Linked DNA regions of Elephas maximus indicus. The protein of the gene in region 1 interacts with the protein of each later gene in a pairwise test. Links are inferred from orthologs where the notes say so. Each region holds a gene or a part of one and is shown in the gene's direction. Other genes may lie near its edges. The genes, in order: CFL1 and ERBB4.

The links.
Region 2: the proteins of CFL1 (region 1) and ERBB4 interact in a protein complementation assay, tested with the Homo sapiens proteins (2 studies listed by BioGRID and IntAct, with this or other methods). The link is inferred for Elephas maximus indicus from reciprocal best matches to the Homo sapiens genes CFL1 and ERBB4.

The regions. Positions count from the first base shown.
Region 1 is NC_064825.1:128,989,374-129,004,210, reverse strand, and holds CFL1 (cofilin-1), read left to right. Parts: upstream 1-7,705; 5' UTR 7,706-7,812; coding exon 7,813-7,815; intron 7,816-8,999; exon of another isoform or gene 9,000-9,087; intron 9,088-9,700; coding exon 9,701-10,008; intron 10,009-10,274; coding exon 10,275-10,351; intron 10,352-10,547; coding exon 10,548-10,660; 3' UTR 10,661-11,180; downstream 11,181-14,837. Other genes in the region: crossover junction endonuclease MUS81, read right to left, coding at 52-246, 796-899, 977-1,105, 1,273-1,368, 1,465-1,581, 2,094-2,191, 2,281-2,402, 2,491-2,586 and 7 more.
Region 2 is NC_064824.1:111,010,637-111,025,435, reverse strand, and holds the start of ERBB4 (receptor tyrosine-protein kinase erbB-4), read left to right. Parts: upstream 1-7,194; 5' UTR 7,195-7,896; coding exon 7,897-7,978; intron 7,979-14,799. UniProt on the Homo sapiens protein: Tyrosine-protein kinase that plays an essential role as cell surface receptor for neuregulins and EGF family members and regulates development of the heart, the central nervous system and the mammary gland, gene transcription, cell proliferation, differentiation, migration and apoptosis.

The DNA.
Region 1 (14,837 bases):
AGGCAGCCCCGGCCCCCTGGCACTCCTTCCAAGTCTGTCCCCTGCCCTCACCTCTGCAGATGCCCACACTTAATGGTACTCAGCAGCATCTCCTGCTCCTTGGGAGTGGCACAGGCATCATAGGCAGCCAGGAGGCTGGGGGTGGGGTGGGATGTTGCAGTTTCTGAGGCTTGACCATGGCTGGCTGCTGGCCCACTTGGAACCCAGCTCCAGGCCAGCACCATGGACGAGAAAGCAGGAAGGGGTCTGCATGGGTTCTAGGGGTCAGGATCACTGCCCCACTTCCTGAGCCTGGCACTCAAGGCCCTGGGGGCTGTCCCCTGGAGCTTGGGCCCAGCCTCACTCTCCTTTCCCCTCAGGGCCACACCCTGTGCAGCCACCCCTGGAAAACCCCAGGGAACCCTGAACCAGGGGCCAAACCCTCTACCTTTCTGCAGGAGCATGAGAACAGGACCAGCAAAGGTGCCAAAAGCTCCTGCAGGAGATGCTCCCCGAGCCTGGGCATTCTCAGGCCAGCAAAATGGGCCATCTTCCGAGCCCAGCTCCCTCGCCTTCCCTCCAAGGAGCCTTCTCTGCTTCTCCAGGCCTAATAGTCTCTCTCCTACCCGTGGCCTCCCCCAGCGTTTAGGCCACGGTCTGGTCCTGGCTGGTTCTGTCCCTCTCCTGGCCCTAGTCCTGTGAACTACCTCGGGTTCAGCTGGATCACCCATCTCTGGGTCTGCACAGTCCACACAGAACCGGGCCCCCCACGAAGCACTGGCTGAGCTGAATTTAATGCAGGGACGGAGGGCCTACCTGGCAGGGGTGCTGTACCGATTGACCAGGGCTGCCGCCTTCTCCCCACTCACTCCGCGCACCTGCATCAGCTGACGGGCAAACACCTCACGGATGGACTGTGCCTGGGGGGTGGGACAGGGACCAGGTCAGGGCTGGTCTGGGGCCAGCCACGTGCGGAGAAACCAGGCAGAGACAGTACCTTGTTCTTAATGGCTCCTGCGTTGAAGTCACTGAAGGTTAGGAGTGAGCACAGAGGATTTGGGGAGGGCCTGGCCCCTGGTTCAGGGTCCCCTGGGGTCCCCCATGGGCGGCTGCATAGAGTGTGGCCCTGAGGCAAAAGGAGAGTGAGGGCCGGGTCAGAGCTCCAGGGGACAACCCCCACCCCGTCCTTGTGTGATCTACGCATCAGAGAACCAGTCTGAGAAGTGGGAATACTACCCACCCCCCATCCCTCAGGGGAATGGAGGCCAATGCCCAGCAGGTACATCTGCTCACCTGATAGAGTCTCTGCAGGCCCCGTGTCAAGAGAGCCAGGTAGGCAGCTGACTCCTTAATGTCTGCTGTGCGCTTCACAAAGAACCCATCGATAATCTGGGGAAGGGGGCCCAAGAGAGGGAGGGGGCTCCTGAGCACAGCCACCAACCATGAGGCCCGTGCCAACCTGGCCTGCCCTCCCCTCCAGCTCACCTGAGTGTTGGTGACAGCCTGCAGCAGGGTGCTCTCGGGAAGGCTCAGGTTGTGGGTGGAGCCATGCTCCTCCACCAAGTATACCCGGCGCCCCAGGCCGCAGCGCTTCAGCCGAAACTGGGGACGTAGGCAGAGGAGAGAAGGCTCAGAGTCACACACTGGTCCCGTCTTCATCCCTGACCCGTCCAGTAGTCTCAAGGCAGCCGCTACCTTTTTACTCATGCTGTGACTGAAATCTCCTCCTGCCCTCCCTCAACATGCTCATTCTTTAAGTCGCTCTTCCATCTGCACGTGGTCTCTCTGACTATAGGACCAGCAAAGTGACCAGTATGGGATGTGGCCTGTGCCATTCCCCTCCTGGAGATCTGGGCCTTATTTATCCAAGACTGCAGGGCCTGGCTACTCAGAGGTCTTTACTGTGCTCCTCCATCTAGCACAAGTATCCTGCACACCTTCATGCTGTGTCCCTAGTGGGCCTGCTCCCAGGGCTGTCCCGGAGCAGCTCTCCTGGGTGTGTGGCCAGCCCAGAAGTCCCCCTGGATTCCTCCGGGCTGAGGAGGAAGCCCCAGAGCTGTGGGTGTGTCCTGCAGCAGGGAGCAGGGGTCACAGGGCGAGGCCAGTGAGCAAACCTTCTGCTCCCGGAAGCGGCCGTCAATGATGCTGCTGCACAGGTCATCCAGCCGCTTGCGCTCCACGATGTGGTCCAGCACGAGCTCAACAGGCCTCACTACCAAGGGGCCAAGGAGAGTCTCATTGGCTCGTGTCCCCCCACCTGCCAGGCCTGCCTCTGACACCCACCCACCTAGGGCCCCTTACCTGGGTCTCTGGGCCTGGTCTCCTGTGCCACCCACACAAAGTCCCCAACGTGTAGCTTTCGGACTGTGTGGCTCACATGCAGCCGCTGCAGCTCACGGAGCAGCTCTGGCCTGTGCCCAGCTCTGGAGTTTTGAGGCAGGGGCCTAGGTCAGGGCAGGCCAAGAGCCCCCTAGTAGCATCCTGACTGCTCCCTCTCTCCCCACTGCTCACCCTGTGGTCTCGCTGACATCCACACACAACAGCACCCTGTACTCGCCAGGCCCCAGCTCCAGCAGTGGCTTTTGGGCAGTCACTTCACTGGGATCCCTGTGGGGAAAAGGGGCTGGTGTGTGTGAGGTAAGAACCCCAGTGCCAAGGCAGTCCCCTTCTCCTCCCCCTAGAATGTGGAGCAGCCAGAGCTCAGCTAGGTCCGGAGGTGGGAGTGGGGAGCTGGCCTCATTTCAGGGAGCCCTCATGCTCCCCCACACCCCTCCCACTCACAGCTTGGACAAGCCTGCTCCCGGCACTTCTGGCTCCTCCCCAGCAGGCTCCTCTGGCCCTGTGCCCATATTCACTAAGCTCAGGCCCTCCGACTCGGCCAGCTTCTGGGCCAATTCCAGCCCCTCCGGGGTCAACGAATACCTGGGAGATGAAGAAGACGAACACAAGTCTCCCTTCTTCAGTCAGACTAGGCAAGCTCTCCTGCCCGCCCCCAACTAGGGTGGCCGTGCCACCCCCTTGGCAACCCTGTACAAGCAAGCTCAACCCCTCCCAGCCCTAAAATGTATAATCAGCTTAGCTTTCTCCGAATCTGCCCAGCACTACTTCTCAGGTCTCCAGTAAGTCCGTCCCAAGTCTTCTTTCCTCTGGGTTCCTGCTCATGTTGTTCCTCCTGGAATGCCTTTCCTGCATCCTCTCCACTGAGTCCTACAGCATGTCAACTGCCACCTCCTCAGCAAAGCCCTTTTGTTGCCCCAGTAACTTGTGGCACCCCTCCTCCCTCCCAGGCCCTCAGATCCTCCAGGTACCCGGACAATGTGGGACCACAGTGCCCGGAGTGAGGCCTGGGCCTTGCTGAATGACTGCAAGCCCCACTAAGAATGTGAAGTCTGCTCCCCACTCCCTATATCCCCTGCAGTTGGCCCCACCTGGCTGGCTGGTGTGTTCTGAGAACAAGGTTCCGGTGGAGGAGGGATCGGAGAGCTGGCCAAGGTCGAACATTGCCAGAGACCACCTGTCGACAGAGAAGGAAGTCCTCAGGGAGCCACTGGTGCCACTAAGTGGCCACACTCCTTCTGCCCCCAGCCTTGGGCCAAGCCCCACACCACAGCCCGCATCTGAGAAGGGCAGTCTCTGGGGGACTGAGGATCAGACTCAGAGCCGCTCAGCCCGGTCTGCGCCTTACCTTAGCGCTCACCCTGGGAGCCTTCTGGGCACATCTCTGCAGCAGCTCCTCCTTGGTTAGGAAACTGCAGCCACTAGGATTCTGAAATCAAGGTTCAGTGCCTGGGTCCCTCCACGCTGTGCTTACTCCCTTAAGCACCCCATCGCCCAGCCCTAGTGGCTGGATGTTCTTTACCACCTTGCCCCAGCCAGGCTTTTCAATAGCCCCCGGCCCACTGCCTCTGCCCTGGTACTCACCAGGTGCTCCTGGTAGAGCAGCAACAGCACAGTGCGGGCTCCTGAGTGCCGGGCTGGCCAGTAGCTGCCAGAGCCTTTCGATCTGGGCTGGGCTGGAACCTGAAGGGTACGGAAAGCTCTGAACATGACAGCCAGTGCCTGTTGCAGAGTCCCTGGCTAGGCCGGGACACCTGAGGGTTCAGGTTCTGTTTCAGCAGGCCCAAAGCAAGTCACTCAACTGCCTCTCACACTCCTTAGCTGTAAAGTGGGCCAGATAGTGGGAATATCCTCTGCAAAGCTGGGATGTGGCAGTGGGCCATTATGGGGTACGGGACGGTGGGGGTTGCCTGGCCAAGCCTCAGTTCTCCTGGTCCACCAACCTGCGCTGCAAAACTCAGTAACAGCAACCCCTGCAACTTACTGGGTTGGGGTTCCATATTAGCTTAATCACACAACTCTGCGGATAACTCTACTGTCGATATTCTCACCTACACACTAGAAAACTGAATCTCAAAATAACCACTTGCCTGAACCCAGGTATCATTAATGTAGCTCTTTGAACACTGGCCTGCTTAATTTTCACGTTTCCTCAAAGCAACTCACATCCCCTGAGAAAGCCAACCACCAAGAGCTGGAAATATTACTTTCGGTACACCCACCTGCCTTGCCACTCCCCCTTGTTCTGTACTCACCGGCAGGGAAGGATCCCGAGCTTCCGCAGGTGGCCCTTCCGGGGCTGAACTCTTCTCTCCAGGTGGTGAGACCGAGGCATGGTCACCTGTGGGGGCGGAAGAGATTCACTCCCGGACCCCACAGAATCTGGCAGGCGGGGAGGGGCTGGGACGCTGCCTGCTCAAGCGGTACGGGAGAAGGGTGAGGCTCAGAGAGAGCCAGCCGCTAGTCCGAGGTCAGACAACGTGGACAGGAGTGGAGCGTTTGAAGCCAAGGTATCCAAGGTGGGCACGAACGCTGCACCTGGTGCGGCAGAGGAAGACCGGCCCTCGCCCTTGGCGCTCACCGCCCGAGGCTCGGTGCTGCTGCAGCCGCTCGTCCAACATCCGACAGAGCCCGTCTCCGAAGTGCTGGAGGATCTTGGCTTCCTTTCCGCTGCGCAGGGGCAGCGGGTACCGCCGGAGGGAGCGCAGCGCCTGCGGGAGCAGGGGGTGCGGTCAGGCCGGCCTTGGGGTCCAGCTCGGCCAGCGTCCGCCCCAGTTAGGCCGGCGCGGACCCCACCTTCTGAAACACGAAGCGTGTGCGGCGCCCCCTGCTGGCTGCCTCGTCCCTCCACTCGGTCAGCCAGCGTACGAAGAGCGGGTTAGGGCAAACGGGCAGAGGCCGCTTCCGGCCCAGGCGGACCGGCGCCGCCATGAGCCCTGGGGCCGGCCCTCGGGCGCCTCACGCCGGCGGAACTGGGACACCACCAGCTCCGGAGTTGGGATTCGAACACCAGCTCGGAGGAGGCGGGGCTTCCCCAGTCACGTGGTCCCACGCGGGCACTAACTGGGTGATCGCCTCCCTTCCTCGCCCCCCGCCCCTGCACTATTCTAAGTGGCCGGCTCAGATTGCTGTCTCTACACACCACCGCACTGAATCAGCCTTTGGACGCACCCCACTTAGGACCCTGGAGCCTAGACCCCGCCCCTTCCTCCCACCCCAAATTCGAGAGCGGGGCCCTATCTGTGCAGGCGAGAGGAAGGCGGACAGCGCCCCTTGTGGCTGGGAGGACGGGCCGGGGACGTGTTTAACGGAGTAATCTCAGCTTGGCTTCTTCAAAGTCCGCTGGCACTTTCAGCCTCACCCTTACAGAGGATGGGGGAGAGGACTGGGCTGGAAAAGAGCCCAGAAGAGGTGGGGGATGCAGGTATATTTTCCAGAGTGACATCTAGGAGGGGATGCAGGGCATGAAGATACAAAGCTAAGGCAGAAGGAGTTGAAGGATCTTCGGAGGAAATGATGATCACGGGCTGGGGGACACAGGGCAGAGTGGGGGACGTGAAGTCGGGGACAGGCAGAGAACACTGAAGCTAGGAGGACACGGGGGTCGGAAGACTGGTAATAAGGGGACTTTAACTAGGAGGTGCTGCGCATCCTGAGAGATGGTGGCACGTGGCTGAATTCGGGGAAGCAGATAGAAGAAGCCCAGAGAAAGGTAGAAGGGGAGAATGCTTCGTCGTTTCTGTGGCTCATTGGAGATGGGGAGCCCTCAGGGGGATCGATTAAATGTGGGGATTCTGCAAAGTGGCCCCAGGTTGAGGGGCACGTACAGAAGATTGGACACAGGGATCTCGCCAGGGGGTTGGAGCAGCCCATAGGCCACCAGCTGTCATGCCGGAAGTCGCGAGGTGCAGCTCTCGGGCCTGCGAAGGAGCTTCAGGTCCACCCTTGCAGACTCCGCCCAGCCCGAGATCCAGCATCCCCAGCCTGCTTAGGCCTCCCGCCTCCCGCCCGACGCGGCCTTATAAGGAGCCTGGAGCCGGCATTCGGGCTGGCTCCGCCCCCTCCAGTCTCATGCCCTAATAAGGACATCTAGGGCATCCTGCGGCTGGCGGCGGGCGGGAGAGCGTTTCCAGGGTAACTGCGAAGCCCCCTTCCCCCTCCTTGTTGCTCTTGGAAACTCCGAGGCTCGAAATAGGTGGAACCAGGCTCCCCTCTGACTGGGGTGCTGGCGGGAGGCGGCGGTCGAGCTGTGGCCTCCACCTGGGCCTCCCGGATGCTCGGCTGGTAGGTGGTGCTGCGGGATGTCCCCGACTACAATCTCCGGCATGCTCTGCGAGGTACCCCACTCCCTGGTGTCGCTCCTGGGGTCTTGAAGACTGGGCTGCCTCCTACTACTTACACGTTGTTTTCTGCTATGGGATCAAGGCCACCAGTTCCGTTTATGGGTATGCCTCTGACGTGTTTGCGACCCTTCTCTTCTTGCAGAGTGTGCAGTCTCATGATCATCTTTCGGAGCCAACGAAGTCTAAGCACATCCCAAACAGTTCCATTTTATTTAGGCGTATGCGCCCACAGAGCTTGTGTCTCAGTTTTGCGGCTATTAATCATCTACCTGGCTATCATATCAACCTGAACGAGGTTCAAGTCTGGTTTAATGTCTGTTTCCTTGCTGCCAAATAAGAGATACAAAGAATCCTTGGACTGAAATGCACAAACCCCTTTATTGCCTCGTGAATGAATGACGTCTGCCAAGCACCTTTAAATAAAGACAAAGCCCTCCTTTGAAAGTTTTTTTTCCCCCCGTAGCCTTTCCCTCGCTCGTGCGCGCGTCTGTGTTTTCCCCTATTTTTATTTTACTAAAGTTGCATGTGGCCTTTTTGAGGAGACAAGAGTGGCTTCGGACACGGAGGACGTTCAGTGAGTGTTTATTGGATTGAAGGCTCCTTATCCTTGCGATTCTCCTTGTTTTAGGACTGAATTCCAGACCAATGGAGAGTTGTTTCAATTCAGAAAAGCAAAATCCTAATCCCACTAAAAATTTTCAGACTAGGAGATCTAGAAAGTGTCAAGATGGGTATATTATGAAAACCGTTTCGCTCAAGGGTGAAGGACAGCAAAATCGGGGTTCATTTTTGTGTCTTCTTTAAGGTTAGCCAGGGCCTATCGCTCAGCTTCGAGCGTTTCCTGGGAAACTCCACCAATGGGCGCGCGCTCCGTGCCCTTCACTCCAGCCCCTTCGGCTGCCTCGGACTACATTTCCCGGCATGCAGTGCGGAGCCCCTACTCCAAGAACCCGAAGACGGTGCAAGACTCTCGGACTTCATTTCCCGTCGGCCCGCGGGGGAAGCGCCGGAAGCCCGCCCCGCCCCTCATTGTGCGGCTCATACTAAACGGAAGGGGCCGGGAGAGGCCGCGTTCAGTCGGATCCCGGCAGCAGCTGCAGCGGCTCTCGTATTTTCTGGCTCTCTTTGCCGTATCTTTTTCGTTTCCGGAAACATGGTGAGCGGCGGGCCACGGCGCCTGAGGGGAGGTGGCTGCGGCTCGGTCGCCTGAGCGCGGGGGAGAGGACGGGGGAGCGACGTCGGCACCCCCTCCCCCAGCGCTGCGGGCGGGACGAGGGTCTCGCGCTGAGGGGCGGGCGGTGCCGGGACGCGCGTGCGCGCCCGCGGGCGCCGGAGAAGGCTGGCTTGGACGTCGCTCGCGCGCCCCCTGGCCTCCCTTCCCCCACCTTGCTGGTGCGCCCGCGCGGACACCGGCCGTGGGGGGAGGGGTGCGGGACGCGCGCGCGCTTGCTGGCCTCTCGCGGAGTGGCCGGTGGCGCGCGCCGCCGCGGAGGTCGGTGCGAGTCAGTTCACGGGGGGCGCGCGCCCGTCGGGAGCACGCGGCATCCGAGCCCGGCCGGGGGCGGCGAGGGAAAAGCGCGCAGGAGGTATTGGCGCGCGCGCCCCACCCAAGGGCTGTTCCTGTCTCCGCGTCATCCTCCCTCGGCAGCAGGCAGGCCTAACTGGCGAGCAGGTGCCAGGGATGCCTGCGCCCGGAAGGGGCCAACGGGATGCCGGGTGCCTGGGTCCGGGTGGGGACGCAGGCACCTAGGAACTGGATTTACACCGCGCGGCACGGAGCGGACACCGCCGAGGCCACAGCCCGGCCCAGGGTCGAGTGCGCCTACGAAGGGAGCCGGGCCCTGGGCCCCGGCTGGAACAGCGCCGTCCCCGGCGCGTGCGCACATGCTCAGGTCCGGCCGCGGGGGCCGAAGCCTTCGACAAGTGGGGCCGTCGGCCTTCCCGGATGGGGCCTGAGGGTGGAGCCGCGTTTGGGGAAGTGACCCAGGCGGGCAGCGCCCGGAAACCACCCCGCCCCCTGCGTTGGGCCTGAGGGCTTGGAGAACTGAAGGTTGTGTAACTGCCCAGGCTCCGGCCTGCAGCATATGGGCTCGCTGAACGCCTGTAAGGGTGACACCCGGAGCTTGAGGCCCTGGAGGTGTCACTGTCGCTAGGGTGTGGGTTTCTGTTTAGGAGAGGGGGCCGAGCGGAGCAGAGCTCCTTTCCCCGCCCACTCCGGAAGCGACTAAATCACGTGGCTGGCTTCCTCCGCAGTTCCGGGGGTGGGGGGTTTCGGACTTCATGGTGGACAGTTGCTCCGTCTCCTGCTTGGGCTGTCCCCCAGCAGGACACAGGGTAGAGGTTTAAAGAGCTCTGGAAGACCCTGGGCACTAGAGTTTCTCCTGTTTAACATCTGTGAGCGACCTGAGGCCGTGCACCGTTTCCGGAGGTCAGGGTGTTTTTCGGCTGGGCCCTAATGGCAGTTGTGATCCGGCTATGGGTAAAAGAAGATCTAGCAGGGAAGGGGACTGTTTATATAGTAACTGCATTGGTCATTTCTGATGGACTTGCTAGAACTGTCGGTGTCTTGCCTAGCGTTTTGGGGTCCTGGTTCCCTGTTTTGTGAAGTGAAGATCGTGGCTTGGGTGTTGGGGTCGTTTTCTCTCTTCTTTGAAGTTCTAAGTCAATTCTTATCCGAAGGTTGAGATTGAATATTGTAAGAGAAAAGTTAGTAGTTTATGGATTATCTTAGGAAGGTTCAACAAAGGTTTAGTTTTTCATGGGTCTTCAATTTCCTGGTCTGTGAGATGGAGATGTTGAGCAGCATGACTCAGAGGTCTCTTCCGTGGTTGCCATTCCAGGCTTGTGTACTATCTGGTCCTTTGACAGGGGCTTGGGTGTGACAATTGTTTTGGGAAGGCAGTTAATGACATTTTTGGGATATGGGACTGTGGACTATGCTTGTTGGCATCAGACCGGGGTCTTTTGAGAAAGCAGGGGGGAGACTTCCAGGGGATCTCAGAAACTTGTTCTTCATAAGATGTGTGTGTCTCATTTCCCAGGCTTCTGGTGTGGCTGTTTCTGATGGTGTCATCAAGGTGTTCAATGACATGAAGGTGCGCAAATCATCGACGCCAGAGGAGGTGAAGAAGCGCAAGAAGGCAGTGCTGTTCTGCCTGAGTGAGGACAAGAAGACCATCATCCTGGAGGAGGGAAAGGAGATCCTGGTTGGTGACGTGGGCCAGACTGTTGATGACCCCTACGCCACCTTTGTCAAGATGCTGCCGGACAAGGACTGCCGTTATGCCCTCTATGATGCAACCTATGAGACCAAGGAGAGCAAGAAGGAGGATCTGGTGTTTATCTTTTGGTGAGCTTCTCATTCAGGCACTTCTTCTTGTTACCTGCCCTAGTTCCTTTTCTCAGAATGGGAACCTCTGTGGTTCTTGGTATAACCCACCGATGTGTGGGGAGGGGTAGTCAGTTGTCACAGAGCATCTACTATCAATGAGAAATTCCAGTATGTGGATGCTGAAAGTCATCTCACGGGTTTTTTGAAGTCATCTATTACTGCTTGAGGGAGATTGCTGGACCCAGAGGAGGGGACTGTAATTTCCCTGCTCTTTCTCCTTCTAGGGCCCCTGAGTGTGCATCCCTTAAGAGCAAAATGATCTATGCTAGCTCCAAGGACGCCCTCAAGAAGAAGCTGACAGGTAAGGGCTGGCTGGCATTGGTGGTGCTGTATGCCTGCAGCTCGGGGTGCGGTGAATAGCGTGATGGAAGAGATTGTCCCCCTTCCCTGCCTGCTGGAAAGTAACCTTGTCCCCGTCAGTCTGCTCTGATTGGCTCCCTCCCAGCCCCCACACCCCATGCTTCCTGCTCAGAGTTGCTTTTCTTTCCCCACCCCAGGGATCAAGCATGAAGTACAAGCAAACTGCCTCGAGGAGGTCAAGGACCGTTGTACCCTGGCAGAGAAGCTAGGAGGCAGCGCTGTCATCTCCCTGGAGGGCAAGCCATTGTGAGCCCCCTCCAGCCCCCTGCCTGGAACATCCGGCAGCCCCAGACCTGCTTGTGGGGGCTGCAGGCTGCCCCCTTCCTGCCAGACCGGAGAGGCTGGGGGGATCCGAGCAGGGGGAGGGCAATCCCTTCACCCCAGTTGCCAAACAGCGCCCCCACCCCCTGGACCTTCCTCTTCCCTCCACCCCGAAGGTTCTGGCCTTCCCAAATCGCTTTTGATCTTCTGATTCCTCTTGGGTTGAAGCAGACCAAGTCCCCCCAGGCACCCCAGTTTGGGAGGGGCCTGTATTTTTTTTAACGACACCCCAACTCCCCACTTGTTCCTCCCCATTCCCAGGCTGCCAACTTCTAACCGCAATAGTGATTTTGTGCTTGTCCGTTTAGTTCTGTGTATAAATGGAATGTTGTGGAGATGACCCCTCCCCACGCCGGCTGGTTCCCCTTCCTCTCTTCCCCTGGTCACATCCACTTGTTTGGAGGCAGGGCCAGTAAGGAACCTTCAATTAAAAAAAAAAGGAAAGCTTGCTAATGGGATGTTTGTTACAGGGTTGGGGCCTGGGGGGCTTGCAGGGGTGTTGGGCTAGAATGAGCAGCATTTCTTCTTTGCACAGTGATCCCCAGCAAGCCCCATGCATCCTGGTCTACCTCAGCGCCTGGCTGAGCCTATCTCTGAGATCACCACTCTACTGCTTTCTGGGTGGTACCACAACGGCGCCACATTGGCTATTCGGGGGGTGGTGGAGCCAGGGTGTGTCTGCTGCTGCTTGCAGGGGGTCTTTAAGTAGAGTGGCCTTATGCCTGAACTGAGTATCTCTGGTCTCATTCCTGTGGGCACTGAGGCTTCTTGGCTGTGAGATTTTTTGCATGTCACAGGTTGTGTGGTAACGTATTGTCTATGTTCTCAAGATTTTGTTTCGTTTTCCTTCTGACTCTTCTGCGGGATGGCTGATTCGCATTTATGAGAGTAGAGGGTCAGGTCAAGTGGCTGCTGTGAGTCAGGTGAAGTTGAGCCTTTGGCCTTCTAGATGTGGTTGGAATCTCTTAGGGTGTGGCCAGCCAGGTAGAGCCCAGGACTTCAGACCCAGGTGTCTTGGGCCCCACCTCCCAGTGTTTAACCAAGAGGGTGGTGGCTGGGTTGGAGCCTTTTGCCAGCATTGCTGTCTTCAGCCTGCACTTTGGGCTTTCACCTGCCTGGCAGGCAAAGGTATCCAAGGCGCCTGGGATAAATTGGGGGTGGTAACACAGGGTTCATTCTTCCTCCCTTAACCAATGAACTGGAAAAAGCGTGAGCGAGAACTAGTTCTTTAGATTTTTGGAACTTAATAGCAGCTCTAAGGGAGGCAGGAAGGAGTAGTTCTACTTTGCTGGTTAAAAAAACCAGGGTAGAGGACTTGTAATTGGTTCTACTCGTGTCCAGCTAGGGTTTGTGGGAGTGGGGGAAACCTTGAATGCTGCTCCTGGGGTTCCAAGCCTGAGTTCTGCACGTTCCTTTGGAGAAACTGCTGAGGACACCGCAGGTTGTCCCCGACTTGGTCCCACAATATGGCCCCAACAATGCCCTGGCAGAAGGTGGGCCCAAGTGTGGGAAACGAGGACTCCAGCAAACCCCTTGCTAGAAAACCAGGTTCTTTATTAATAAGTGGATAACAGGTGGGGGTAGACGTGCTTTTCCTCCAGGGTGGTGGGTGGGTGGGGGCTGTCCTCAGCACCCTGGGGAGGGGAGGTCAGGGCCTCTGGAGGTGCCCAGTCCTGGGGCTCTGCTTACCTGTGGCCAGTACAGTGCCATGCTGCCCTCCTCTTGAAAAGGCCGGGCTCAGGCTGGCCTAGGGGAACTGGGGGTGTGCTAGTGGCTGCTGAGGTGGGGCCTGGGGGCCCCTTGTTACTGGAGGTCCAGGGACAAGGATTGGTGTGCTCTGGTTGCTCTAAGGCTCCCCCTTGAGGACAGTGGGGGTGTTCTGGAGCAGCAGTGTGCTGGCCTGGAGGGGAGAGGTAGGTCCTTGATGTTCTTTGCCTGCCCTCACCCTGCTCCTAAGACTGGGAGTTGTACTTTCTGAATCTCAGATAACGCCTGCCACACCCCTGCCACCTACAGAGTGATTTGCACCAACGAAGAAAGAAGGGCAGGGACCTGGCCCAAGATGGGGAAACAGGGTTCTGAACCTCAGCTGGAGCTGCTCATGAGGTGCTGGACCTCCTCCTGCCCAAAACACACAGACTTAGTAAGCAAGTGTGAGAAACTAAGAACCTAGAGGCCTGGTGGTGGGGGCCGGGGAGGCCAGAGGTTCACCTTGGCGTGTTTGAGCTCCAGCTCTGCCAACTCAGTGAGGTTCTTGCAGAAATAGGAGACACGATGGGACCTGAAGCCTGTGAGCTCTGGGGAGAAGAATGGGAACCTGGCAGGGCAGGTGCCCAGTGGTGGGGGGTCAGGGCGGCAGGGGCTCACCCTGCTTGGCTGACTCAGAAAGGCGTTTCAAGTGCTGGAACCGCAGCTGCTGGTGGCTCTCGGGGCACACCTCCTGGTTCCTGGTGCGTGTCTTGCCTAGCGCCTTGTTGGCAGTCTCATAGTCAGCCAGTGCCCTTAGCCGTCGGTACAGCAGGTCCTGGAGCCAGCATGGGCACAGGACCGCTCCTGCCCACAGCCCTCGCCACCCTACCTGGGTTGACCATGCCCACTGGCCTCCAGCCCACACCTACTCTGGTGCTGCCTCTCACCTTGGCCACCTGTGAGTCATACCTTAGTATGTCTGATAGCTTCAGGTCCTGGTCAGAGGCCACACGGTTCTCCAGCTTCTGTTGGGAAGGTAGGGGCTCGGGAGGGAGCTAGCCAGAGAGCAGCTAAGGGATGGGGGGGCCTCCTCAGCTAAATACCTAAGAGAATTACTGATACCACTCTACATCAAGCACTGATATTAAGGGAAACAGGCTTCACTGAGGAGGTGGCGTCTGACTTGGGTCTTGGGGGTTTAGTAGGAGTTAGCTAGACAAATAAAAACCAAAGATCTGCAGGTATGGAGGCCGGGTATGTTCAGGGAACCATACATTTGGTGTGGGGGCTGTTGGCCAAGGCAGTGAAGGGAGGCAGTGGCCAGATCACAAGACCTACAATGCAAGCTAAGGACTTCGAGCTTTGTGTTGGGCAGTTTCTGGAAGGGACAAGGTCACTGAAGAACCTTGAGCAGGGAAGAGATGGGATCCAACAGACATTTTAGAAGGATTAGCATATTCCAGTGACTTTCTTGGAGAAGAGTTCAGGAAGTGTGCATCTGGGGCAGGATGTTGGCAGCAGGGTGCAGCCTGACAAAGGCACGTGGCACATCCTTGTGCCTCACCCAACCGGGTGCACTACCCCCCTGCCCCATCACCACACACAAACAACTCGAGGCTGAGCCCTTGTCTCTGCCACACCACTTCTTTTTATACCTGAGTGTGAGTTTTCACCAAACATTCCAAAATGATCCTGGGGCTTTCCCCTGTCCCATGACTTGTTCTTGCTGGAAATGATCACTGGGGAGACTTCAACACAGGTGTACTCACCCTTAGTGGTTCAAAGAGTTCAGCCAATTTTAGGAAGCTCCTAGGAGGCAGTGGGGAGGAGGTTAGGGCTTGTCCCTCCTTGGAGAAATCTCCCCCTCCCCCTTCTCTCCCAAACCCCAGCAGGTCATTCTGCACCTCCCTGCTAGATGGTAAATAGCCTTCTACAGAGTGACCCCTAATGGACAGACAGCATTGCAAGCACAGGGAGAGGGCAGGAGGGGGAACAGGGAGTCCTCACATCTTCAGCTGGTTAACTTCTTGTGTTCCTAGATTGCTTAGCACAGCTGAGATAGGGATATAATCAATCGCCTGCCAGGCCTGCTGGGGAACAACCCCCATCAGAGCCCCTCCGTCTGCACATCAACCCCTACCTCTGCTGACTGTGGCCACTGACAGGCACTAAGGCTTCCCCTGCTCTCCTCCCCAAGAAAGAAGGACTGCTGGGGATAAGGGGCAGGGGAATCCAGGGCCCCTGGGGCCCTTCCTACATTTGTGGGAGCGCATGTCGTGGTCTAGCAGGAAGGCTCTCTCGTGCTCAAAGCTGTCATCCACCTAAGGGAGCCGGATAGGACTCCACTTACACCCAAGACACAGGTGCACGGCAGCCACAGGCACCCGGGGTGGCACAGTCTCCCTCCAATCCTGGCC
Region 2 (14,799 bases), on another chromosome or scaffold:
ATAAGGAGATGCAGTAAGACAAGTAGTAATTCTATTTGTCTAAAAGTGTTCGTTTAACAAAGTCACATTAAGCTGTATGAAGCACACCGCTCCTACCCAGTCACTCTATCTAATAGACAGCAATAAATTATCACCATTGTTTTATTTCCTCCCAGTATTTGATTAGACAAAGAACATTTTTTTTTCTCTATCAGTTTTACCTAAAATGAAGACATGGAAAGAGTGGGGAGTCAGTATACATGTATTAAACAAACAGAAAAAACCCAAACCCCTTGCCATCAAGTCAAATCCAACTCATAGCGATCCTATAGGACAGAGTAGGACTGCTCCATAGGTTCCCAAGGAGCGCCTGATGGATCTGAACTGCCCACTTAACCATTATGCCACCAGGGTCTCCAGACATGTATTAGTTAAGATAAATATTAATGCCTTACATTGTAATAATCCCTGCCAATATCATATTCTTAAAAATAACCATAAAATACACAAGTTTGCAATGATACTTTGCACTGTGTAAGCAACCATTACAAAAAGTTATCCTGTGTACTATTTTTTCATTCAACAGCAATTTTAAAAGAGTAATATTGATTGTTTATAAGTTGATTTTATTTTAAGAGTAAATTAGGCTCATTGAAAACCAGAAATGATCAGTATGAAACATGACATTTATACTATTAGTACAATAATTCAAAATAGATTGTGAAATTGATTAAGTTCGTGTTACCTAAAAATTGTTTAAGTAAATGGTCTCCATTGTGGGTAGATAAAAGACTCATTGATCAAAAAAGATTTCTCTAGCAGCTTTCTATTTTCCCTTATTAAAATTGTTTTTTTAGATATAGGTGTTCATACTTCAGATTCAAAACATTGTCCAGCCTCAGCTTTGCTGATGCTGCTCTTTCTGCAGGGGGTTCACTGTATCAGCTGCCGGGATATATGTGGCTATTGCTTTGATACGTTAGCACATTATTAAAATGTTTACTGTATCAGCAGTTTAAATATTTTAAGATGGATGTGAATCAAACTATGTTCATCGTTGAATTTCTTAAATGATAACCCAATACCCCAAAAGCAAAAGATTAACTAACCAGTCTTTATTTTTAGAATCCTTATGGACAAATTAAGGAGGTAGGTGAAAAGGGAAAACATTTATTAATCTATCGATATGAATTATAAGCATCCTTCTGAAAAAAGTATATAAATACTACCACACATCGTTTTTATCCCCAAATATTATCATTCTTCTTTGTCATCAAACTCAATCAGTATAACTTTTAATTATTTTTAAAATATTATAATTATTGTTACAGTTCTGGTAGTTTCTTCTGGACCCTTTTCACTGGTGAATCGAAGTATTAAATGCTTTAGAACATAGAGTATTCTATAGGATGGTACAAAATTGTTATTCACTAGTGGCCAGGACCAAATATAGGAACTGCCAGATGTCTTAGACCTCATGACAGATTTTTCAGAAGTGAAGACGGACTTGGTAAGGGTAGGCACCAAGGGAATTGAAGAACTACATTAAAGGAATGGGAAATGGGTTATACTGAGAGGTGATTATTGGGCAAGGAGGAACCGGGCTATCGAAGTGTGGAAAGAAGACTCAAGAAGTTTAGGACCCTTTCTGGCTCTTAGAACCTTTTTTATTGATGCTGTGAAGATTTATGCATCACTATACAAACCTGAAAAGAAAATACATGGTTTCTAAATGATTACTTTAGTTGACAATTGGCAGGAGTCCAAGAAAACATTCTAAGAACTCTTTGTGTCCTTAGTCAGAACAACGTTCATTTTTGTCTGCAGACTTTTGGGAAATCTATGTGTTAACCATAACACGATTAAGCTCTTTGCAGAGTTAAGAATAAAGAAGGAAGGAAGCGGAATATAGAGGCTACCTGGAGAAGAAGCTCTGGTTGCACAGTGGTTAAGCATCTCACTGCTAACCAAAAGGTAGGCAGTTCAAACTCACCAGTTGCTCTGGGGGAGAAAGATGTGGCATTCTGCTTCTGTAATAATTTACAGCCTTGGAAACCCTGTGGGGTCCATATGAGTTGGAACTGACTAGCAAAGGTTTTGCCTGGAAAAGAAACTAACACACTTTTCCTTGATTCAGATTTCAAGTCAGGTACTGTCAGAGCCTCAATAAGCAACCTCACTAGTTAGTTTACTTACATATACAGGCAATCCCTGGGTTACAAATGTCCACTGGCAGACAACTTGCCCTTCAATGTTATATAAATTTGCTCTTACTTTGAAACAACTGAACCAACCCTTACTGGCAACAAATTCTTCATCACGATCACCTTCACTTGCTGCATGTGCAGTTTCTAAATAATTGAAAAGTCTTCAAGTTTTTTCTTGCACTAAAGTAAGCTAAATAAGAACCATACACACCTGTTCCAACTTACCTACACGTTTAAAGACTTAAAGTCACCGTTAGGAACAGATCTCTTTTGTAACCCTGGACTGGCTGTACACAGGCACTCAAAGAGAAAAACGTTCCTTTCCTTTCTAGTTTTCAGAAGTCAATGGCAACTGTTGGTGAAGGTTTACTACATATTGAAACTTACAAAGAAATAGAAAAAGCTACAGGGAACACAAGAACTTGGGTTAAGAAAATATTTAAAGCAGATACACAAGAGAAAAAGGCTTTACTAGGAAAATCATTTTTGTATAATTTTATTGGGAAAGATTGCTAAGTCCACAGGGCTGAAATTATTTTGCAGTTTCAATCACAAACCGGAAAGGTCTATAAGAACTTGGACAGACACTGATGAATGGACATAAAGCAACACGGAATTGATTTACTTTTTAGTCACACCTCCTGAGCTCTTAAAAAATTAAGGCTTAATCACGTATATAAAAGGAAAACAACAGTTATTAACCCAAAACAAAATGATCTTGGGGAGGACTTCTTTGAGTGTTAAATTAATGTAACAAAAACATTTCTTTGGTTAGTGCATATTAATATATTCAAACATTTATTGAGCTTTGGCCTTAAAAATTAAATGTCACCAAATATCAGAGAATGCCAGAAATCAGAGGTTTAAGAGCAAAGCTATTATTTCAAGTGCTGAGTTAAAAAGCAAACAGAAAATACCAATATTGTGTTTGTCATCTGCTTGATCACCATAATACTGAATCTGACTGGTACTCAGCAACATTTCCTCTTAACTGGTAGAACAGTAAACATTCAATTCTTTACCACTACACAGTGATATAACTGTGAGCCTATCTGAATATTTTCCTAAGGTAGTTTAAGACACGTGTCTGCGTGGGTGGTCCAGACAGAGATGTGTATTGTGGGTAAGCGGGAAAGAGAAAGGAGGAGGTATGAGAGAGTATTAAAGTCTGTGAAAATTATGACTTACACTTAGTAGATGGTTAGTAAATCATAGACCCATAAAGTCTTGAAATTGAGAGTTTACAACAACAGGCATATGAAGCATATGAAGTAACTATCTCAAGATCACAAGATAACTTAGAAAAATGAATGGGGAGAAAAAAATAGAACCCTAGATTTATTTTTAAATATTCATAAGAAGATAATGGATTTACAATAGCGTTCCATTTCTTTTCTTAGTTGATATTTGTCCCCAATTTATATATATATAACTAATGGCAAAATGTGCTAACAGCAATCTCTAATCTCAGAAACAAACTAAAGATTATGTGAACTGTGGAATTCTGGGACAACGCTAGGGATCTACTTCGAGACTGAACACTCAGTTCAGTGTGTTTCTTTCTGGCACCATCATCATTCTGTCACACATGATATCAGAACTCTTTTTTTTAAATTATATTACTAATGGAAAAAATGAAGTGGAGAGGGGATTCAGGAGAGCAGCCCTGGACAAAGGCATCTATATGTCATGGTTATGGCTTCAACCAAAGGAAATCATGAGAAACCAGGAAAGGAGACTCAACAATATTGGCCATATCAAGATGTCTTCTTCAAGGATCATACTGGCATATATAATCTCATTTATGTTGGAGGGTCCCATTTTACACTCTTTAGGTTTCAGGTAACAAAAATGAAAACTGAACTAGCTGAAGGAAAAAGGGGGTTTGAAAAAATAAGCCTCAGGAAGAGCTTGGATATTCTCCAGACCCATCTGGGATTTTGCTCCTTTCAAATGGCAGCTTCATTCTTTCTTACTGCAGCCTAGTGATCTCTACATAGAAAGAAACATAGCCAGGCCAGGTCTGTAAATCTAGATCTCAAAAGCCACAATGAAAGACTGAATATGAGCTGTTTCTTTCTCATGCACACAGTCTCAGGGAAGAGTCTCAGTGGGAGTGACCATTTTTCACCTAATCAACAGTAACCTAGGCATTTTGATTGGTTCAGTGTAGAACTGGAGAGTCGGGGTAGGCTGTACCATAGAGGCAAATTCAGGTTAAAAATGTAGATCTGGAGGAAGGGCAGTTCCTCGAAATGGGGTACTAAGCAGATAATCTCCGGTGTTTGTCTGTTGGTTAGTAAAATACCTGTAGATACAACCATGTTAGATTAGTCAGTTTTATTTATTTTTTTTTTCAGATTTCGAGTAACAACAACACATGTAACTCAGTTGGTAGAGATTTATCATAAAGATGCATAGGAAAGTGAAGAAGTACAGAGATCAATTTTAGCAAGCCTCTAGCAATCCAGTTAGTATATCCCTCCTTCTACATCAGGTAGTAAATTGTCCCTACTCTGGTGTTCCTTCTTTATGACTCAGCCGAGACCAGAAACAAAATGACAGCATATACAGAAAGAACTAATTCTTGTCTCTGCCTCATGGCTTCTAATTTCTCATCCTTCAGACTTGCCCCCACAGGGTCCCACCCTCCTGTCTACATCTCCAGGTCTTAAATGATCTGAACTAGGCTCTGATTGGGAAGACCAGTCATCCTGAAATGTAGGATGCTTCTGCTTGGTAGTGCTTTCATGCCAATCCATCTTACAAGCTGCTGGTCAGACAATCACTTTTAACCAGGACCAATCATGTTTCAATTAGTTAGAGAGAGGAAAATGGGATCAAAGCAGAACAAACTGAGTATCTGAGGCCTTGTAGAGGCTATCTAGTATATATACACAAACACACACACATACAAAATAGACTAATTTTTTAACCAATGAATATTAATTGAAAACCCTCTTTTGCAAAGAATTATTCTAGAGGTGATGGGTGAGACCAAGATGTATGGAATTCCTGCCACAGAAGAGTAAGTATAAAATTGATGGGGGAGTGGGTGGTAAAAATGATCACAATGGATATGAGTAGAAAAAAAAAACCCAAAATATCCAGACTATTTTTTGCCCACAATTTAAGGTAAAATAAATAACCCATTTCTCACTTCTTACAACAGAACTGGTATCAGAAACAAAGACTTAGTTTTTTTAATAATGGAAATTTTAAAAAGAAGTAGCTTTCATGGAGGAGAGGTGTCTAAGAGTCATAAGAAGCAGAAGGGGATTTAAGGACAAAAGAGTGAGAAGAGATTGAATGAAAGGAAAGAAACCAGAGGGGGTGGGAGATAAAAGTAGAAAACAAAGATGATCCCAAAGAGCAGTAAGCACAGTTCTGCACAATCAGTACCATTCTGGTCAAGTCACCATCATCTCCTTTAGGCTTAACTGCTTCCCACCCTAGGCTGCTTCTGGGTAACAGAGCATGCTCATCTCCTTTGGCCTCCTCTCAAGGCCTGTTACTTGCTCTGGGCCTGAGAGGGAAGGCTTCAGGCTTCTGGGATAAGACTGCTCTTCCTATCTGTTCTCAGCTCCATGGAAATTCTTAAGGGACAGAGCTCTAGATAAAAGCTGAGGAACAAAGGAGAGGTCTTAAATGATGAGTGAAGAGGCAGGATGGCTTGATTTTTAAGCTCCCCTGATACTTTCTATTTATGTATTTGCTACTTCTAGAGAAAGCAAAAGGAAAATAATTCATACGTGAAATGCCTGTGCAAATTGCAAAGCAATAACCTACTACCCTCAGGAGGTTCTGGCCCCTGCCCTGGGTATAGTTTCAGAGTTATAGAAGGCAAGGGGTATGTATACTGATATGACCCGGTCCCAGGATATTTTAGATCCAGGGAAGGCCAGAGACTTCCAGAGCTAGCAATGACCTGGGACTGGGACCATGAACTTGCAGAGTGAGAACATGGAAGGGACCTAAAGCTTGATTCACTATAGAATAATCCTAATCATTTGAGGTCCGTTATCTCCTGACTTGGCCGCCTTAAATTCTTTCATACTAAACAGCTCACACTCTGGGCAACTTCTAGCTTTTCAGGACCAAATCAATACCTTTGGACTAGAATCTGAATAATGAGAATAAACCCAAACCAAGTTGTCCTAGAGCCCAAGAAAAGGGTGAAAACACCTATAAAGTCTAAAATCCAAACAATTTTACCTCCCCCTCCCAAGAAAAAAATCAAACCCATTGCCTTGCAGTCCATTCTGATTGCGACCCCATAGGACAGAGTAGAACTGCCCATAGGGTTTCCAAAGAGAGAGGCTGGTGGATTCGAATTGCCGACCTTCTGGTTATCAGCCCAACTGTTAATCACTGTACCAGCAGGGCTCCAAAAATTTTACAATCCATACAAATGTGGAGTTTTAGTTCGGCTCAGTGTCAGCCAGTTTGGGAAGGTGGGTGTTGGGAGAGACTGCATAGATGGGGAAGGAGGATGATTATACCCCACCACTACCTAATCTGCGGAGGCTCACACTACCCAAAAGTCAGTACTGAGTTTTAAACTATTTGCTTAGTGTGGAGCATGGGGGAACAGGGGAAGGAGGGAAATGTTTTGCCCGAAGCGACGTGGATTTTGCTTCTATTTCTAGGGATGTCTCTGGCTGTGGATTAGCACCTTGGGGCAATGGCGAATGGTGACTTCGTTTTTACGAAACAACCTTTAAACACCCCTCCGGTAATTTGCCCACTCCGCGGGCCAGCTGTCCTGGGCTTCTGCCGGGGCGGGAGGGGGAGTGTTTTAGTCGGTGGCCTCGGATTAGCCCTTTAATACCAGCTTCCCCCGCCCCCAACACCCTTCTCCATCTCCCTGACAGGTGTTTTCCCAACTCCTGAGGCCGAGGATTTTGGGGAGTGGCTGAGCCAATAAGATTTCCCTTTGGGGGGGGCGGGGGAGAAGGCGTGGCTAGTAGGGTCAGAGCAGGGGCGGGGATTGCGCGGCTGAGCAGAGCCTGCTTGGTTGCGTGGAGGGCTGTTTTATTTTATTTTTCCGGAGTCTCATTAATTTCTCTGTGGGGCTGCAGCTGGAGACCGCGGAGCGTTGGAAATGACGCTCGGAGCTTTAATTACCGCAGCCGCCGGACAAGTGTGAGGAAAAGCTGCGAGGGAAAGAAGGGCAGAATCAGGGGAGAAGCGAGAAGCTCCCCCCACCCCGCCCGCCCCTTCCCTCCTGATTTGGACTGGAGGTGCAGGGACCCAGAAAAAGGAGCCGAACGTAGCCCGGCTGGGGTGGAGAGGCCGGAAACCTACCGCCTCTTTGCAATCAACTTTTTTTGGAAACCTTTTTCCCCCTTCCTTTTTATTGTTGACCAACCAGAGCGAGAGAGAAAGTGAGGAGGGAGCGAGAAAGCAAAGGCTCACACGGGGACGTAGCTGCCCAGTCCGGCCGGCCCGAAGCACCACGCGCACACACTCGAGCACACTCCCACCGCACACACCCGCACGTATACTCGAGCCCCCTCCCCGGCCCCGGCCCCGGCCCCGTGCGCGTGGACTCCTTCACCCGCCTCGGAAGCGGTTCGCCGCGCGCGCCGCCCGCCAGCCCCCCTCGCGCCCCACGCGCTCCGGGCTGAGGAATCTTCTCCGCGTGCCAGAAAGGGGATATGCCATTTGGACATGTAATTGTCAGCACGGGATCTGAGACTTCCAAAAAATGAAGCTGGCGACAGGACTGTGGGTCTGGGTGAGCCTTCTTGTGGCGGCGGGGACCGTCCAGCCCAGCGCTTCTCAGTCAGGTGGGTCGCGGTTCCTGCTTCTCGCGCTCCAGTTGTTGAACCTGCTGCCGCCGGCTTGGTCGCCACGGGTGGCTCTCTCACCCTCTTGGTCCAACCGGAGACCCGCTCACTCCCAGGCGTGAAAGGACCACCCGATAGGGGCCTCTTCTTTGGGCTCTCGGTAGCCCTTCTTTCCATTCCTAAACTTACCCTGTGTGTATGTGTTTTGCTTTTGGTGAAAAATCCCTCTGCGTCCCGGCCCGCCTCTTTTTTTTTTTTTTTTTCTCTTAAACTCCCCTTTCTCTCGCGTTTTCTGTGAGCCTTAGCGGGATCCCTGTGGTCGCGCCTGTTGTCCGGGACATGCGAGAGCCAAAAGCTCAGTCAGAGGACGCTAGCCTCTCGCAGTCTCTGCCCGAAAAGGAAGAAGCCTGGGGGAAGCGTGCCCCGGCTGGGTGGCGGTGCCTGGCGGGCTCCTAAAGGGGAACGAGCTGTGGAAGGGGAGCTCCGAGAGCGGGCTTGCACCTGTGTGCGTGCTGGCGGGCGCTGCGCCCCCAGTCGCCGAGCCTTGCGGGGTCAGACCTAACTAGAGCCCAGCCGGGGCAGCCGGGGCGCGGCAGGCGGGCTCGCCTCGGTCCGGGGGCCCGGAACCCGGGGCCTCCTCGGCCGGCGTCTGGGAGTGCATTGGCTTGAGGGGCGCTGACTTGCCAGCCTGAGCTCTTTAAAAAAAAAAAAAAAAAAAAAAAAAAAGGCCTGGCACACTTGAGGCGGTTGCTGTGTTTGGCTCGGGGAAGAGTTGTTCCTGTAGTTCAACTTGCTATTGGCCGGAGTCCCTCCAAGTTCTCTGTTTACAGCCCGGCGGGGCTGCGGAGCCGGCCCGTCGCGCGAATTGATTTACCCCGAGGCGGGCGCGGCGGCTGCGCTCCAGGCGCGGCCACTGTTTGCTGGAGAACTTGAGCCCGGGATACCCCGGCAGGCCCTGGGCTCAGTGAATCCCTAAAGGCAGCGCAGCGGGGCCGGCGCTCCCGGCGGGCAGGACTGCTGACTGCACCTGCCGTGCGAGGGAGCGCAAAGTTTCTGACACTTGAGTTTCCTGGGAGATGACAGTGGGACAGGAAAGGAGAACAGAGGGGAACCCGTGGCCGAGTCGAGGGACAGGGGCCTTTTGGAGAGCCGGGTAGATTTCCGGATTCATCCGGGGCTGGTCACGGGAGCGTGGGAGGCGGCTTGAGGAGATAAAGCTTCCGGAGGAGGCGATAGGGAGAGCTTTAGGCCCCCGGAGTGTGTCCTTCTGACCTCACCAAGAAAACTGCGCGCAGTAGTTTTCCCGCTCCGCCTCCGCCGCCTCCCCCTCCTGCCTTGGTACACAACAAGTTATAATCGTCCAGGCTTTCCAAATGACCTTCGAATGGCACATGTGCACCGTTGGCGCTGGCCGTTTGTACCCTCCCAATTACTCCGAAATTCTTCATGCATACCAAGTCCCGCTCTCAAGCCGCCTCCAGAATTGTCACACCAACACAACACGGTCTGGAGATTCCAAGCGGCCTCTTAGATAACATCCCTTTTTTATCTCCCGCCCCGCTCCGATTCCCTTCATATTTTCCTTCAATGGGTTGATTACGCACATTGACCCATTCAAACGCAGTTGCGACTGCCACGCAGGGTTAGCTGAGAGGAATGTCAAGGAAGCGACCTACTGGGGGCTGTCTGGTGCAGCCTTAGTCGCTGGGGGACCCGACTCGAGTCCGCAGCAATTTGTTATTAACTGTGCGGCTCGGGGGTTAAGTTATGCCGAAAAGCCCTTTTCAGAATTTTTGCAAGGAATGTAATCCAAATTAGTTCTGCAGCTGTCCTCTTCCTCGTCTCAGGCGACACCGGCTCGCGCCCTCGCTAGTCTCTTCTCACTTCCCCCGGGCGAATTGTCAGACCCACAAGTGAGCCCATTTAGAGCGCAAGGATTAGCGTACCATTGTTGTTCCCTGTGTGACTCTGTACTTGAAATTCTAGGGGCACAAAGGCGAGCCTCACTTGTTCAAAACACAAAGTGATCTAGATGAAAGGGCCGCACAAAGAGCTCTCGGGCGCATCCCTGGTCTAATTGCAACACGCATACTCAGGTGATCCACTGGAAACTGTAAATGCCCTTGGGGACTTCTTTTTTCATCCTCTCTCCCCCTGTACGCCGCCGCACCTGGCAGGGAAAGTTAAACTGGTTTTAATGTAGTGCTATTATAAAACCAAGTTACTGTCTGGGGCGTGAGGGAGGTTCCGTGTGTTTGTGACTGTATGTGTGTGGCTGTGTGTTCCCAAGTAAATACATATTGCATGTCTCCCCTCTTGCGGTTAGCAGTCAGTAGCAGTTTGGAGGAGTTTGTTTTGGTCCAAATGAGAAATTAAGTGCGGATAAGTAAACTAAGCTGCCAGAGGGCGACAAGATGTTGAGTGAATTGCTTTTAGATGAAACAAATTAAGGAAACGAGGGAAGACAATCTGCTTCTCGCATTATTAGACACGCTTGGAGTTCAGGGGAAAGTGGCATATTTTTGAAATGCTAATTTCTTAAGAAGCAGAAGGAATGCACCTTATTTACTGCTCTATGTGAATAGAATTAAAATATTGGGGAGATTCTATAGTAAAATCTAAAGATATTTCTTACAAGTAATTTTAAAGATTTTTCTTACAAGTAATTTTAACTGAAGAAGACCTGGTTTTATTTATTTATTTCTTCTTTTGCTTTGAAAGAAAATCAGCTTTAGAGAAGATTATTTTTTCCTAATTCTGAAAAACTTTGTCTCATTTCCAGTGATTTATTTTATCTAGAAATGTTATAACCAAAGGCCCTTTAGAGAGCAGTTATAAAGCCTTTACTAACCAAAGGAATGATTCCAAAATTGCAGTCTTCCTTATGTGATTAAAATATATTAGTTTGTATCGAAATAAAATGTATAGTACTATTGAAGTGTGTGCTCTTACATACCTTAATAGGTATGATGAACGAGTTCAGTTTGCTTTTCCTATTTGCAAGTAACTTAGTCCTGGTTTTTATTTTATAAAAGTACACACATCTTTCCGACATATTTAAGATCCATCATGACACCTCCAAACTTAGGTGATTTTTACATTTGAAAAGAAAATTATTAATAAAACTTACAGTTAAATGGTGTAAAAGGTAGTAAATACATCTTCCAAAAAAAAAAAAAATCAAAACCATCAATCCTCTTTCCTACACGTGTTTACTCTAAGCGCACCCATGGGTCCACTGTTTCCTTTAGTCCCTTTTGGTTTTGAAATTTTATATATGGGAACTTCTTTAGAAGTTTTTTTTTTTCTTCTTTAGAATACTTCCAAAGAGATTAATGCCTGTTACTGTAACTGCAAATCACTTGAAAGTACTGTAACTATTGGCCCTTAAAAAACTGAGTGACTCTGGTTGTGTCATGATTCCTCATCTCTTGATTTTTTTTTCTCCTAAACTCAACTGCCATTATTTATTTTAATCATGCATGCATTAAAAAGTAAAATTTTGTTGAAATCAAGGCACTTACTCTGTTACATATATTTTCATTTAGTCACTGAAAATATGTCTTAATTAAGAAATTACATTAGAATGTTTACGAGGGCATGCACGTCGTAGATTTAAGCATTTTTCACTCTTTCCTGAACATAGTAAGTTTGCATTGGCTGATTTTTACAGTTTGCATTCATTTGAGGGAAAAATCATATTTTCTCTTTAAAGTGGATTCAAATATTTAGTATTCATGAGCTTTTATCCCTTTGGTACTTAAATAGAAGTACTATTTTTCATCTGTCTTATGCATTCACCCTTTGTATTACTGTAGATTCTTTCTTTACATCTTATTATTTATTGAGTTTATGCATGTGCATATATGTTTTTTTCCCTCCATTACTGAGTGTATCCTTTTTGTGTGTGTGTTTCTTTCCCAGCAACCTGCCACTCAGCCACTGCAGGAGCCTTCTGAGTCAGTTTTCATTCTTTCTTTCTGTTAAATCTGATATGGCTGGATGGCTGGAGAATCACAAGCCATTCCATTCCTCAGATTTATTCCTGAAAGAAAACAAAAAGGCATCGATCCAAGATCACTAGCACATCTCCAAAGCCCTGACTCCAAGGCCAAATCTTTCCACAGAGAAGTCTCTCTTTCCCTCTCTCCCTGTTTTTCCCCCTTGACCAAGGAAGGAGGGTAGACTACTGCCCTTTGAGAAATACCAGGGATGCATGGGTTTATGCCATTTCTAAATACCCTCTGAAGCTTGGTGATGAGATCCACCTTGAGATTAATAGCTATGTAAGGTGCACATTTTAGACAATAAATTGAATTAGGCTATCTTAAGCATTGCAGTGCTTTAAAGTCCTATCATTTTTCTGTTATTTCAAGTCAGATTTGTAAGCACCTAAAACATAAATGAGGCATATGATCCAAAAAAGATATTGTGTTTGTTACCTAAAACTTGTGAGGGCTTGCTCTGTTTGATATCATCCTTTTCAGACATGTTGATTTATGGAGATGCAAGTATTTACATTGAAATTTGCTTATATACATCCAAGCCTACAGCTGTTCTACAAAAAACTAATTGTCAAGCATATTCCACTGTTACATCTTTCACAGTAATCTACTGAGTATGCTATGCAGGGTAGAATTTCATCATATTGGAAACTTTCCTCCAGGTTATATCATTTTAGAGATGTTCTCTTATGTTACATTTCACCATATGGAGCCAAATAGCATCTTTTGTCTAATACTCATTTTCTGAAATATTACAAATATTGGGAAATGAGAATAAAATCTTACTTTTCATGATGTCTGTTACAGCTATTGACTGGAGTTTATACTTTATAATGAAAAACAACCCCGTCACCCTCCTTTTTTGTTAAAAATAAAAAAAATAAATAAATATTTCCTGCAACTATAGCTCTTCCAAATAATTTGAAGGAGACTCGAACTTTCTATTTCATGGATAAGTGTGACACAGGAAATAGGTGGCTTTAATCAGAATTTCTCTATTCTAGGGACAGCTCTTTCAGTTTCTTCTTAATATCTTGAGCAACTCCATCTCTTTGTGACTTACTTAGCTGGTGTGCCTGGGGTGGGGTGGGGGGAGAACACATAAGGCCCTCTTTATTTTTGCGCTCTGTAGCAATTTTCTGAAGAATGGCTGAAAGTCTTCTGTGATACTGAGATACATTCCAACAAGAAGGTAATTGATATATTTGATAGAATCGGTGTGTGTTCATAAGCATAATGTAAACTTCCTAGCAGACCATCTAGGAAGATGAAGAGCAGACGAGCAGCTGTCTAAATGAAAGAAAGAGAGTTATTAACTCTAAAGAGTTTATGTTTCAAGGCTCTTTCTCACAAAGATGGCTTTTCAGAATTGTTCGATGGTTTCTTTAGATTTCATTATATATGGTGTTTTCTGAGTCATTGCTGGTTCTGACATGTTTTTTAAATAAATTAACCTGTTTTTAGTGCTTTAATCAAAGCTTTAAATCACTCTCTTATTTTTATATCTAACATGTGAACTAATGCTTTCTATTTATACTACTTTTTCAAGAGGGAAGAGAGCCCTCTCACTTTTATGGTATGTAGGTGAAGTATACGTATTTATACTTCATTTATATGTATTTATAAAGGGATTTTTTTGAGCATGTAGTAATTGTTTTATAATTATTTTCATTTTGAATAAGTGATTGCTCTTCAAGCTGTTAATTGGCACAACTCCAGAGGGCACCAGCCACACAGAATTTAATAGGAATGGTGCATGCCTGAGCTTTGGGCATTGTAGCAGGAGACTTGGGTTCTGGTCCTGCAATAATTTGCCGGTGGTTTTGAGTGAGACTCCTCGTTTGTGTATTTCATTACCTGTATATATATAGGTTAAAGTGGTACCTAAACTATTAATATCTTGAATTTTTGTAATGATTCTGTTAGACTGAAAAAGAATGTTTAGACTGGGAAAAAAATCCATTGGTTTTCAATTATATTTGATTATTATTTTTATATTATGTTCAATTTAGGTAAGTGAACCTCTTTTTTTGTGTGAATTCAGATGTGTAGCCCTGGTATCTAAAACAGATAAAAGGGTAAAAAGAGAGCTGCTTCTGTTAAAGCTTCAGTGAGAAGCCAGCTGCATGTTCACCTGCCTTTGGTGCTCCCTCACTTTTTTTCCATTCAAGCTGCTACACTCCTCTGCTGGCTTCACAGAGCTCTAGCTCTACTTGGAAACCACTAATCTAGCCCAGTTCTCTCATTTTATAAGTGAAGAAATTGGAAGCACAAAGAAAGTAGGTGGTATAAGTTAGTGGCAGTTCCTGACACTAATATAATTTTCTTTAACATACATGAAAGTACTTGAAAAGTCACAGACAGAAGTTTTAAAGAAAAAGAGCAAGATCGTATTATTTTACAAGAGCTTTTCAAAATTGAAATGTAAGCAAATGAATTGAACCCACAAGCCTAACTATAATACTATGAAGTTCTCTGCCAGGTGGAGACTATGGGGTCGTCATCATCTTTAGTTTAGGATGTATTCATTAATTGCAATTATAACCTAATTAAGATTAAATAAACAAAACAATGTTGTTAAGATGTAGTTCTGTGACAGTTAGGCCTAAATTCCAATTAGGCGTGTTCTGGACATCAGAATAAAAACCAAAACCAAACCCAGTGCTGTCGAGTTGATTCCGACTCATAGCGACCCTGTAGGACAGAGTAGAACTGCTCCATAGAGTTTCCAAGGAGCGCCTGATGGATTCGAACTGCCGAACCTTTGGTTAGCAGCCGTAGCACTTAACTACTATGCCTCATCAGAATGTTTACCCT